3 linked regions of the Nothobranchius furzeri genome follow. The protein of the gene in region 2 purifies or fractionates together with the protein of the main gene of each other region. This does not show direct contact. Links are inferred from orthologs where the notes say so. Each region holds a gene or a part of one and is shown on either strand. Other genes may lie near its edges. The genes, in order: tubb5, rapamycin-insensitive companion of mTOR and mlst8.

Region 1 (4,125 bases), on a different chromosome or scaffold from region 2:
GTCCGACACCTGTAAACACACACAGTGTTGATTCGGTCTTGTGATGTTAGCAGAAGACCCTACGGCTAAACAAACTCTAATTAAAAACAGAACTTTTCAGGCACTATCACAAGGACGGGTCACCTTGGGGGAAGGCACCACGCTAAAGGTATTCATGATTCGGTCTGGGTACTCCTCACGAATCTTGCTGATGAGGAGGGTTCCCATTCCAGATCCAGTCCCACCTCCAAGAGAGTGGGTGAGCTGGAAGCCCTGCAGGCAGTCACAGCTCTCGGACTCTTTACGGACCACATCCAGGACCGAGTCCACCAACTCGGCCCCCTCTGTGTAGTGACCCTTGGCCCAGTTGTTTCCAGCACCACTCTGGCCTGTGGAAGAAGTGAGACTTTGTTTTCTAAGTTCATACAGATCACAGATATTGTAAAAGGATTTCTCTGGAAGACACTCACCAAAGACGAAATTGTCAGGTCTGAAGATTTGCCCAAAAGGTCCAGACCTCACAGAGTCCATGGTCCCGGGCTCCAAATCCACAAGAATGGCCCTGGGAACATATTTACCTCCTCCACAGGAAAGTGAACGGGAGAGCAGAAGGGAAAAGAGGAAACCGTAACATTTACATCGCAGCTTAGCAATGCAATGGACAAAAATATTATGGAACAGCACATCTTATGTCATGAAAAGCCTTTCAGGACGACGGTCTACCTGTGGCCTCGTTGTAGTAGACGCTGATCCTGTCCAGCTGCAAGTCGCTGTCTCCGTGGTACGTCCCAGTGGGATCGATGCCGTGCTCGTCGCTGATCACTTCCCAGAACTGCAGACAGGAATCACATGACGGGACTCATTTCACTTCTAAGCTACAGGCCTTTTGGGACTTTAAATGAGGATAACAGCAATGGGTTTGCATATTTATATTCTGGAGGATACGCTAGGATTCAAGCAGTTTCCTGCAGAGCAGCTGCAAATATTTCCAAAGCTGCCAGCTCATGACTCTGCAGAAAGCTATGCAACGCTTTCATATGTAAAACGTGAAGGAGGAGGAGCACAAAGGAGCCACTGATCACTCCGAAGGCCAAACTGAAAATGAAAAAGGCGTCTCACACAACACCGAGGACAATGAGGGCCTTTAAATTTGTATTCAAGTCCTGCTCCGGCTTTAAAAGCCCACGGAGCTCTGGGAGGCTGGGTACGCATTAAATCCACTAAGATACTGTAGGAAATCCTCTGCATGTCTGCATTTCCTGCTTTTTTACACATTCACTTAGATTTATGGTATTCAGCTGCAAAATGAGACTTTACAGCCTCCCGTTAACGCCGGCTGCACTGCAGACAAACGGCTGTGGAGTACAAATCTTGACATTTAAATGTCACGAGACGAGGGTGAGCGATGCTAGAGACGCAGAAGTGAGAAGACAGAAACTGATGGACGGCCCATCAGTGATGATGAAGATCACAGTGAAAGAATGAGGACAACGAGCAGGAAAAGCAAGGCCACACCCTGACCCATTTGACCACCGTGCAGCCGCTCAGCATCTCTGGCCGTCATAAATCCTGCACATCGGAGTCGATGAGCCCCCAGGGGACGGAAACAAACGAGTTGGCTCTCTGATAGACCACTCCTAGTAGTTTTAGCCGATCATACAGGCCAAAGCGGTGACCCGAACAAGGGAAAATGATTAACAGTACAAGCTTGATAAAAATATGTCTAATAAAATATAAAGGCCATCTGTTGTGTGCCTTTGGGAAGACAACTATTGCCCATTAAGGCCACTGGAAATGGAGACTTTGCGTCCGCTGTGCATCAGCTGTTTCCTCCATTCCTCCCCCACCCTTCTCTTAATTTGGTTAGGGGAGGAAAGATTCTGCTTTCCAGGACATCTCAGCCAGAAAGATCACCCTTCATTAATCCGGGCTAATGTTCATGGGTTCTTAATTCCAGGGCATGGATTTGAGCGTGTGCATGCGTTTACAAATGATCAGTTGTAAAACAAAAATAAGACAATAAGACAGCAGAAATAATGGGCCACCCAGACCTATTGTTGCAGACTGCGGCTGCTAAGAGACAGACTGGGCGGGTGATGTCATTGATGAACATTTTAGACTTTACTATTAAATGATGCAATGACAAATTATATCAGATGAATAGAATATTATAGTAAATAACACATAAGGGTGTTTTTTTGCAGAAAAAAGGAGAGAATGACTTGTCTTCTCACAATTATTCATGCCACACCCTTCCATCACGTCCCAATAGAATAGCTCACCCTGCAGTCTGCCTTTGCAGCCTGCAGAACTCAAATCTAATCAATATGTGCTATTGATTCATAGACATCTGGGGGTGGGGGGTAACTAGGCCTTTAATCCAGACTTCCACTCATTGTCTGAAACACCAGTCATATCAGCCTGGGCCAGACAAAGCAAGCAGAGTGAAGGCTCCACAGGCTGTGGGGGTCTGACATGAGAAGAAAAGAGTCATTTTCCCCTCTTTCCTTTGTCTTTTTCCCTAAATCAGTGCGTTGAGATGGGCTGAATCCTAGGAGCTGGGACGCAGACACACCCGGTGTTGTGTGCACTGCAGTGCTCACAAAGACTGGACCATTACTACTTTTTTATTTCATTACATATTTATGTAAATTTCTTTATCTTCATCAGTTAATAAATCCATATAACAGTAATTGTGAATGCTTTAGACAAAGTAACGCAAAAGTAACTCCTGTTTTATTCCACAGAAACATTTTATACAGATTTTCTGAGCTTACCTTGGCACCGATCTGGTTACCACACTGGCCGGCCTGGATGTGCACGATCTCCCTCATGATGGGTGCGAAGGTTTCACGGGAAAAAAGGTGCGATGTGATTAAAGTGGACGAGCACGAGCCGACTTGTGACAAGAGACCGGGGGGACAATGGATTTATAAGGCTGGAGCGTCTCCAGAGAGGGGCGCGGCCACGCCCACAACACGCTTCTGCACGCGCCGATTGGCCGAGAGGACCGGCAGGGGGAGGAGGAACGTGTCGGCTGCAGATCAGGGAGTGGGAATTGGAAAAGGAGATTGACCAGAATTTTACCAGCTGGTGTCCAGAAATATGCATTACAGCTGTTTTAGTGTCAGCCGGGGCTGATCATCGCTGCGACTGTGTGAGAAAACAGATGGCAGCAATTCCAGTGTGCAGTTGGGGCAGAATGACAGTTAGCTCCTTTAAACTCTGTCTTTTCTTTATTTTGATAATATACTGAAAACGTTGGTTAGACCAATAAAACAGTATGACTAGATCTGATTGGCTGATTGTGTGTATAGGTGGCACAGATGGGCCCCACAGAACAAAAATGTATAAGTTTGATTTGATGGGCAACTCTTTTTCCTACGTGTGTGTGTGTGTGTGTGTGTGTGTGTGTGTGTGTGATTGGTTGCTTGTCTTGTTTGTCTCCACTTGCATGTCTGTGATGGACTTGTGACCTGTCTACAGTGTCCCATTCCCCTTGCCTGCTCAGTTGTAACAGCTCCTCATGACCCTTACAGAAAAAGGGAGATACAAAAAAAATCAATGAATGGATTTTCTGCTTCACAATCATTCACAAAAACACAACTATCAGCATTATTCATCCATCCATCCATTTTCCATTGGGGGCAGCAGCCTAAGCAGGGAGGCCCAGACTTCCCTCTCCCTAGTCACTTGGGCCAGCTCTTCCAAGGGAATCCCAAGGTGAGAGACATATTCCCACCAGCATGTCCTGGGTCTTTCTTCGGTTCTCCTCCTGTTTGGACATGCCCGGAAAAACCTCACCAGGAAAACATCCAGGAAGCATCCTAACCAGATGCATGAGCTACTTCAACTGGCTCTTTTCAATGTGAAGGAGCAGCAGGTCTACTTCAAGCCCCTCCCAGATGACCGAGCTTGAGCTTCTCACCCTATCTCTAAGGAAGAGCCCAGCCACCCTGCAGAGAAAACTCATTTTGGCCGCTTGTAACCGCAATCTCATTCTTTCGGTCTCCAAAGCTTGTGACCATAAGTGAGAATTAGATCGACCGGTAAATATAGAGCTTCAACATTATTTGACAGAATTAATTACAATTAAACATTATCATCAACATCAAATTATAGTTATAGTTTTCCATCCACCGTGAC
Region 2 (4,129 bases):
AGACCATCCATGAGCCTCTAAATGAGGACTGCATTGCTGAAGCTCTTCTGAGGACGTCTAAAGCCATTCAGGACATTGATGCTCTAATTGCTGGAGAAACACTGACTTGAGTCACTGAAGAACATGTCGTAAATCTGTAATTACAGATTCTGATCCTCTGTTTAAAGATGTTACGCATGTAATATTTAATTTGACTGTAGTAACTTGTGTCTAGACATCAAATGTACACACATTGTTCTTTGTCTTCTATTCCCGTCAGTGTTGAAAGAAGAACAAAGAAAACTTTATTCCACTGATAAATATGTTTCCAAATGATGTGGGAAAATTTCCATTGTTATGGTTTTTATTATAATCAAATTATAAATTGCAGTTTTGATTTGGTGAGGAATACTACTTTGCACATGTTAGAAATACGACCAATTTAAAGGGCAAAAATATCCTTCACATCGTTAACTTGCAGACTTAACTGCCATGTTTCTGTGAAGAGACCTTCAGCAGGTTAACACTGCATGTTGACTGTTACTATGCAGTTTAGTCATTTTAAGTCAAGTAAAAAAAACAGCCATTTTGCTTTTTGTAAACATACTGTAGCCTAGGTGTAATGCAGCAAAAGTTGTGGCAACTGCTAGAAACCTTCAAGTTTAACCAAAATAAATGTGTTCATCCTAACAATTTATAGCATCAAGAAAGCAAAATGGGAACATTACTAGGCTAGTTTGCAATACTTCATTGCCAGATAGCTAAATATATCTTTGTTGCATTAAAGTAGGTTGTATTTGTGAAATAAATTGGGAATGTTTTGGCTTTCATGGGCAAAATATCCAGTGGTTTCCAAAGCTAGGGTTGGGATCCTGCTGTGGGTCACCAAGAACCACATGGGGGGTCTTGAGACAATTTCCAAGATTGCTGAAGCTATATTATTTATAATAACTGTTACAAACCTTAACTACATTGTCATAAATGTATATTACTGTACATGAACTGAAGCAGTTTTCTTATGCCCTAAATTATTAAGCTTTTATGCATGGTTTAAAATCAGATATTTGTGGGTCACATGTCTTGACAATTGCTACTTTGAGGGTCTGAAGCTGAAAGATTGGGAACCATTTGCTTAGAAAACAGTTTGGATTGTTCATAAATATTAGATCACACTACTTAAGTCAACCCTTACTAGTTTAATCAATTAATCAAAGAGAAGCAGTCAATTGTCAAAGAAAATGTGTAAATATATAATACTAATCCACAATAATAAAGTGTCATGGTCTTAATCTGGCATGATTGAAATGGTCATAAACTCTACAACAACTTTACTTTCATGTGTTTTTGGATGAAAAGAGGTTAGTGGTGAAATTTGATTATTGTGATTAACCCCGTCCCCAGATCAGATTGCTGTTTTTATATCCACAAACAACAGAGGGACTTTGAGCAGAGGGGTCTAGTCTCAGGTCTGCTGGGTCTGTCCATCGACATTAATACCGTATATAGTTTATACTGGGTCTGTCGTAGCCAGTTTGCAGACGACGTCTTTGATGCGTGTATTGTCGCGAGATTCCGCGAAGTTTCCGGTGTTGTGTGTACTGTATGTTCCTGGAGACATGGCGGCCAGCTTCCGCGGCCGTCCTATACGGAGTCTTCGGATGCGAGGTAAGCTTGAAAAAACTCTGTTCAATGACAGGTGTAACAGCGGGAATCTGCAAAATAGAAGACCCCATACACGCGATGAGCTTGGAGTGATGTGTTTTTGTGTACACTGTGTGTGTTTTTGTCAGGTCGGAATGACAGCGGGGAGGAGAACGTACCGCTGGATCTAAGCAGAGGTAATCAGCGATTATTCTTCAAAATGGATCATCATGGCACTTTGCTGTAAACACTGCCCCATTAAACGAAACTCAAACCATGACGTGCATATGTATTTTTATTTGCAATTCTTACTTAGTCAGTTTTCCTTTCTGTTTCGTGTAAAAACATTGCTAACTAGTCATAACAACGGGCGGTAGCGAGCTAACAAACGAGCTGGATTAGCTGCCACAGCTAACCAGCCATGACGACGCGCTGTTGTTTTGATCGGTGCTAGTAGGATACAGAGCCTGTTATTCAGCCAGACAGCTCATGCATCGGTCATCACTGACTGCACGAGGAACTGGGTGTACTGGCTGTTTGCTAAGTAGCACATATGGCTGCACAGGCTGGTTCTTGAGCTACAGCCTCTCAGCCGGGTCAGAAACACTGCTCCAGCAACAACACCGGTTTGTTTACACGGAACACTCGTGAACAGCATCATCCATCAGGATTTTGTTGTATCTGCTGACATAAGGAGCTGGAGGCGTTTAACATATGAGATATCAGTGACGATAGTTTTCCTCTGCAGGTTTTAAACATATATATCTTGAGGGCCAAAATACAAAGAGGCCATGTTTCATATCAAGTTTCCGTGTAAAGAACTTCTACTTATGGCTAATTTGCAGTCAATGTTCTTGCTTAGTATTTTGAGAAAGTTACAGTTTATACAAAAACAGCAAATCTTCCTAAAAAACTTAAAGCAATGATACAAAATGAGCAGGAGACTAGAAGAATGCACAGATAAATGAGATTTCATGATACCTGAGAGTGCTAACTGACATGAAAGCTCAATTATGAGTTACTTTTTTAATTGTAGTTTGCAAACTGTTTCTTTGTGAGGATCTTTCAACAAACACAACAAACTACAGTCTACTGTTATTTTTGTAGCTGTTTCTAGGCTTTTACAGTAATTTCACTATCTCTTGAACTAAGTTATTAATAGGTAAAGGAAAGTGATTAAAGTAAACAAAAATATCAAATCTCAATAGATTATACTTTTTGTTTTGTACTTGTATTCAGCGCTTGACATCATAGATTTTAAGATTGATTGGGTTGCTTGACTCCAAACTGTTAAACAATAGAATGTTCAACAGAATCAAAGCATGCGTAAATAACACTTGTCATGGGTTAAAATGATCTTTAAAAGACACAAAGCAATTGCGATTAGCTTTGATTAATCTGGATGGTTGGCACTTATCCTGCCCTGAAATTGAAATAAAAAAAAAACCACCATGCAATGCTTCTAAAATGATTTGCATGTACACTTTTCTACTAATGCATTGTTACAAATAGGGAAACCAAACTAAGTCTGTGCTCTAAATGAAGGATTATTATCTGAAGTTATTGTCATTGCTCTTTTTTTCAAATCCACCTCTAATATAAGATACTTAAATATATATTTGAATGGGCATCAAATCAAACTGATGAGTCTGTATAACATATTTTCTTTCTTGATATTTGGTTGTACATGTTTGCTGTTTTTTAAAGTTCAATGAAAAGTAAACAACATGAAATTCATAGATTTATTGTGCATGTTTGTTTTAATTCATAAAATAAATCAACCGTTTGCAAAGTCCTGAAACCTGCTAAGCTATTGTGGAGTTGTTCTAGTGGACTTGGTGTATGTGAATAAATCTGTAAAGTGGTTATCCTGATGTATTTTTAGTGTCTGGAGCTGCTGGAACTTTTCCTGGGTTTCACAATATTTCAATGTCAAGTTATTAATCCTTCTTGCCAATAGAGTTCTCTGTTTTACAGCCACATTCCTTATGTCAATAACATTGTGGTCAGCACATATAAATTGGAAGGACGTGCAAACCAAATGCTGACCTGCTCACATCTTGCTCTTTTAATTGCGTCTTGTTTTGACTGTACACGCTAAATGAGCTGGACCGTCTTCCTTCCTGCAGTGAATCAATTACTGATACTATACCAGTATGGCTTCACACTTTGTTACGTTGCATTGTTTTCTTCTTCTTTCCCTTGCAGAACCATCTGAAAACTTCCGTGAAATTCTCCAAAATGTGGCCAAACCTCATGGAGTCAGTAACATGCGAAAACTGGGCCACCTGAACAACTTCATTAAGGTACTACTGCAGATCTGATGGTCCAAATCCACAGTTTGTGTAATCTGTCTAAACAGTGTTGAAATGTAGTTTTCAACCATTCTCTAGCCACAGGAACTTTGTGATGCTAAATGACATCTGTATGTTTCTGAAAGTTATACCAGGGTGTAGATATTATGACCACAAAGATGGTGTACCGAAGTTTGCTTGTGTGTCAGTAAAAT
Region 3 (4,095 bases), on a different chromosome or scaffold from region 2:
TTCTCCCCAAACCACGACACATTCAGAAACCCTTTTCTGCGTGAGCTGCAGCTGCATTTTTGTGTTCACCTCTAGACTGCTGGCCACCTGCTCAGCAGATCAGACCTGTAAGATCTGGAGAACGTCCAATTTCTCTCTGATGACAGAGCTGAGCATCAAGAGCAACAATCCAGGAGAGACGTCCCGGGGTTGGATGTGGGACTGTGCGTTCTCTGGAGACTCCCAGTACATCGTTACAGGTCTGTTTGCCGTAGAGGACGGGGTGTAAACGACATTCTGGGTTCATTTGGAAACAAACACGGTTTATTGTTCATTATAATCATGGGAACGTTACTTTTATAAAGTAAATTGTTACAGTTACTAATTACTTTGTTAAAAAAAGCAACTCAGTTACTGAGGTACAAGATTATAAAAGTAACTAATTACCAAGAAAAATAACTACTGGTATTTTCCTACTTTATTTTTTAAATAAAAGAATGTAAGAAAAATGGGATTCCCTTCTTAATAAAAATAGCCTAATTTACTGTAAATTACTACAGTACTAAAATATAAATGACTAATAAGATTTGAACATAATAAAATGTATGTTCAAATGTTTATTATGAAACTGAAAAGTTGAAATAAACAGGAGGAACTACAAACGGGAATCATTACACTAATCTAAACTATTCAAATGTGTGGAACAAGACCCCAATCAACAACATTTATAATTGCAAATAGAAAACACCTGCAAAGGGTTCCTGAACCTTTAAATGGTCTCTCAGTCTAGTTAAATTACTGAAATAAATGTAATTTGCACAGTATTCTAATTTTTCCAGTTTTACATAATTGTGTGTTTTTAGTAGCATTTCTGTTGCTGCTAATCTAGTAATGGTTAAATAAATTTATCAATAAAATCCTCAAGAGTGACACTAGAAAAGGCGCAAATCTGATGGAGGTCTTAAAGAGCAAGTCGCCCCCTAATCTACTCTTTTGCTGATAAATTATATAAATGAGTGTCCAATCGTGCTGTAGACACATGCAGTCAATAATTTGGCACTTTAGTGCGACTTAGTTAACATTTAAATATTCTGCCTGAAACTCAATGTTCCCTGCACTGCATTTGAATTTAAATCTGCCATCGTTATTGGCTAAGATGTACACTATGATGTCAGCTGGTACATTGTGATGTCACAGTGCAGTTGCGAACCTGTTTGTATTTGTTAGCGGCTCCGCCAGGCAACAGCATTCGTTGTGTTTTTCAAACAGGAAGTGGGAGTGGAGTAAGAGTCTGGCCGGGGGTGACTTGCTCTTTAGCTTTACTAACTTGGGTCAGACCCAAACACAGAAGAAGCTGGGTGGCAAAGACACACACTTAGTTCTAGTTGCACCTGAGCACCCATGACGTCTGAGACTGACACAGTCAGTGGTACAGCGGAACAAAAGAAATAATCAGGAACCGGATCCAGTTGGATCATCTAGATAGAAGAATGGTACAGCTGCAGACCGCAGCGCAGGTTCACGCCTGCAGCAGCGAATCTGCGGGTCACCAGTTCTGTAGCCATAGACCATTCATCACGTCTTCTTCGTTCATCACGGGCTGTGAGGCGCTGATCTTCCAATCAGCTGATGACAGCTTCAACACACCGCTCTGCTGAATCATAGCAACGCACACATTTTCTTATCAGTAATGGACACGGCGTTATGAAAAATGACAGTAATTAAGTAGATTTGTCACTACTGCAAAAACTAACATCTGTTAGTAACCCCGTTGTTTTAAACGTTCCCATCACAGATTATAATACGTAACCATTAAAGGTGTGGTTCACTGAAAACTCATTTTTAAAATCTTATTTCTGATCATAATCAGTCACTCTTGAGTGTATCATGCAGGCTGAACATGAAACAGTGTCCTAGGATTTCCTTCCTGCTAGAGACCACTTTAGATGTATTAAACAAGTGAACCAAACCTTTAATAAAATCTTATTCCTCTCTGTGCTTAAGCTTTGTTAGTGATGGTAGATGAAGGTTTTTGTCCGCTTGTGCCGGTGAAGGGTTCATTTCTGAAAGCAGTGCCCTCTGCTGGTCAGTAAGTTTATGAACAAAATGACGTGAGAAAACAAACAGCTTCAATACTTTTTAAATAAATATGTGTTCATGTTAGAAAGTGGGCTGAACACATTAAAGCAGACTTTGATTCCTGTTTGTTTTTCCCACAGCGTCTTCAGACAACCTGGCCCGTCTGTGGTGTGTGGAGACGGGCGAGATCAAGAGGGAGTACAGCGGCCACCAAAAGGCCGTGGTGTGTCTGGCTTTTAACGACAGCGTGCTCGGTTGAGAAAGACAGGAAGTGACAAAAACGTTCAGAGAAGGACTGTGAGGACGGGACGTTCCTCTGCTTTGACAGGAGCCACAGATGTGGTTGTTTGGGACACGGTTAACAAAACCTCCCAGAATAATCAAGGTTTTGGTGCCACACGCTAGCAAACAATCAGCAAAGCAACACAACACGTTCAAATTCACAAACTCAAGAGCCAAATGCATATTTTAGCTGGAAACTTTACAGAAATGGCTCCGTTAAGAAACTCATCTTGTGTTTTTACAGATTTGTATATTTATCCATCTTCTCCGTGTAGAAAACACTTCACATTTATGTACCGCTAAGCTGGTAATAAAAGGATTAAAGAAGTATCCTTACAGTAAGCCTTTTATTAGATAAAAACATGACTACGACAGTACAGTTACACATAATTATGCTCCTCGTGTCTAAAAAAGGGGATTGCTGTTCTGTGGTCTCTGAAACGTGCCACCAGAGAGGTTTTCACACATGAAAAGAGCAACAAGGAGGATTTAGAAACACACATTTGTGTTTTCTTTTCTTCAGACAGAAGCAGGAGGGGTCAGGCTCAAGGGGAACACTCGGATGAAGCAGAAACAGCTGATCTTCGTGCTGTAAGGACACAGTCACTCAGGCAGATAGTAGAAGCACACGGATACACAGATGTTGCTGGGGAAGCAGATGTCGATGCAGAAGTAGACCAGCCTCTGTTTGCCTGGACCTGAGATAAGACACACACACACACCCCCAGGAAGAACCAGAATCAACTCAGGTTTTCTGACATTATTTATTACGTTTCCACATCGGATCCTAAGTGGTTTATAACCAGCCTGTGTGATATTTACCCCGCGTGTCCTGAAAGGTTAGAATATTTAACCCCAACATGCAGCTTGATGTGAGGAGAGGCCACATAGATTAGGCTCTGGTTTGTTACAGACCAGACTCCTGAGATGAGGTTGTGAGTAAAGTGTGAGCACGTGCCCCCTCAGACCATCCATCTCCTTACACTAGATGTTCTGGGTTCCATTACTTCCCTGTAGAATGGAGCAGACCGAGTTGCTTTTTGAGGTTTTTTTTTGTGTCTAATTTGTGTCACACTATTGAAGTAAATCGGAATCTTACAGTTGTCCAAATAACGTGATTAATTCTCTTTTAGTTGATGATGTGTAACAAGGGGGGTTACTTTTATCACCAAGGGTCAGATTGGTGTTTTATTTCTCTGAAATTAATATTGAGTTGAATAAAACTTCTTTCTCTGAGGGAAAACTCAGGTGTGTATCCTTTAACAAATTCCCATCTCACCCTCTGTGGGTGGTCTCATCCTTCCAAGCTCGGGTCCTCTACTAGAGGCCTGGGAGCTTAAAGTTCTGTGCAGTATCTCAGCTGTTCCTAGATCTGCTCTTTTCTGGACTGAGATGTCTGATGTTTTTCCTGGGATCTGCTTTAGCTACTCCTCCAGTTTCGGGGTTACTGCCCCGATGACCACAAGTACCAGCGATGTCTTCCCTCTCCAGGCTTTCTCAAGTTCTTCTTTGAGGCCCTGGTACTAATCTAGTTTCTTATGTTCCATTTTCCTGATGTTGCATCACTTGGTATTGCCACATCAACCACAACGGCTGTCCTCTGTTGTTTGTCCACCACCACAATGTCCAGTTGGTTCACCATCACCATTTTGTCAGTCTGGATCTGGAAGTCCCACAGGAGCTTGGCTCTCTCGTTCTCAACCACCTTAGGGGTGTTACCCTCTTTGACCTTGGGGCTTCCAGTAGAGGCCAGCC

Evidence for each region.
Region 1: the proteins of rapamycin-insensitive companion of mTOR (region 2) and tubb5 purify together in Homo sapiens (affinity purification with mass spectrometry; 3 studies listed by BioGRID and IntAct, with this or other methods). This does not show direct contact. The link is inferred for Nothobranchius furzeri from reciprocal best matches to the Homo sapiens genes RICTOR and TUBB.
Region 3: the proteins of rapamycin-insensitive companion of mTOR (region 2) and mlst8 purify together in Homo sapiens (affinity purification with western blotting; 14 studies listed by BioGRID and IntAct, with this or other methods). This does not show direct contact. The link is inferred for Nothobranchius furzeri from reciprocal best matches to the Homo sapiens genes RICTOR and MLST8.

What each region holds. Positions count from the first base shown.
Region 1 is NC_091745.1:74,453,620-74,457,744, reverse strand, and holds the start of tubb5 (tubulin beta-5 chain), read right to left. Parts: upstream 2,914-4,125; 5' UTR 2,814-2,913; coding exon 2,757-2,813; intron 812-2,756; coding exon 703-811; intron 561-702; coding exon 450-560; intron 369-449; coding exon 124-368; intron 10-123; coding exon 1-9. UniProt on the Homo sapiens protein: Tubulin is the major constituent of microtubules, a cylinder consisting of laterally associated linear protofilaments composed of alpha- and beta-tubulin heterodimers.
Region 2 is NC_091757.1:36,632,359-36,636,487, forward strand, and holds the start of rapamycin-insensitive companion of mTOR, read left to right. Parts: upstream 1-1,302; 5' UTR 1,303-1,529; coding exon 1,530-1,644; intron 1,645-1,769; coding exon 1,770-1,817; intron 1,818-3,828; coding exon 3,829-3,926; intron 3,927-4,129. Other genes in the region: c17h5orf34 (uncharacterized protein C5orf34 homolog), read left to right, coding at 1-110. UniProt on the Homo sapiens protein: Component of the mechanistic target of rapamycin complex 2 (mTORC2), which transduces signals from growth factors to pathways involved in proliferation, cytoskeletal organization, lipogenesis and anabolic output.
Region 3 is NC_091756.1:30,078,224-30,082,318, forward strand, and holds the end of mlst8 (target of rapamycin complex subunit lst8), read left to right. Parts: intron 1-75; coding exon 76-239; intron 240-2,198; coding exon 2,199-2,317; 3' UTR 2,318-2,943; coding exon of another isoform or gene 2,944-3,038; 3' UTR 3,039-3,583; downstream 3,584-4,095. Other genes in the region: bricd5 (BRICHOS domain-containing protein 5), read right to left, coding at 2,944-3,038.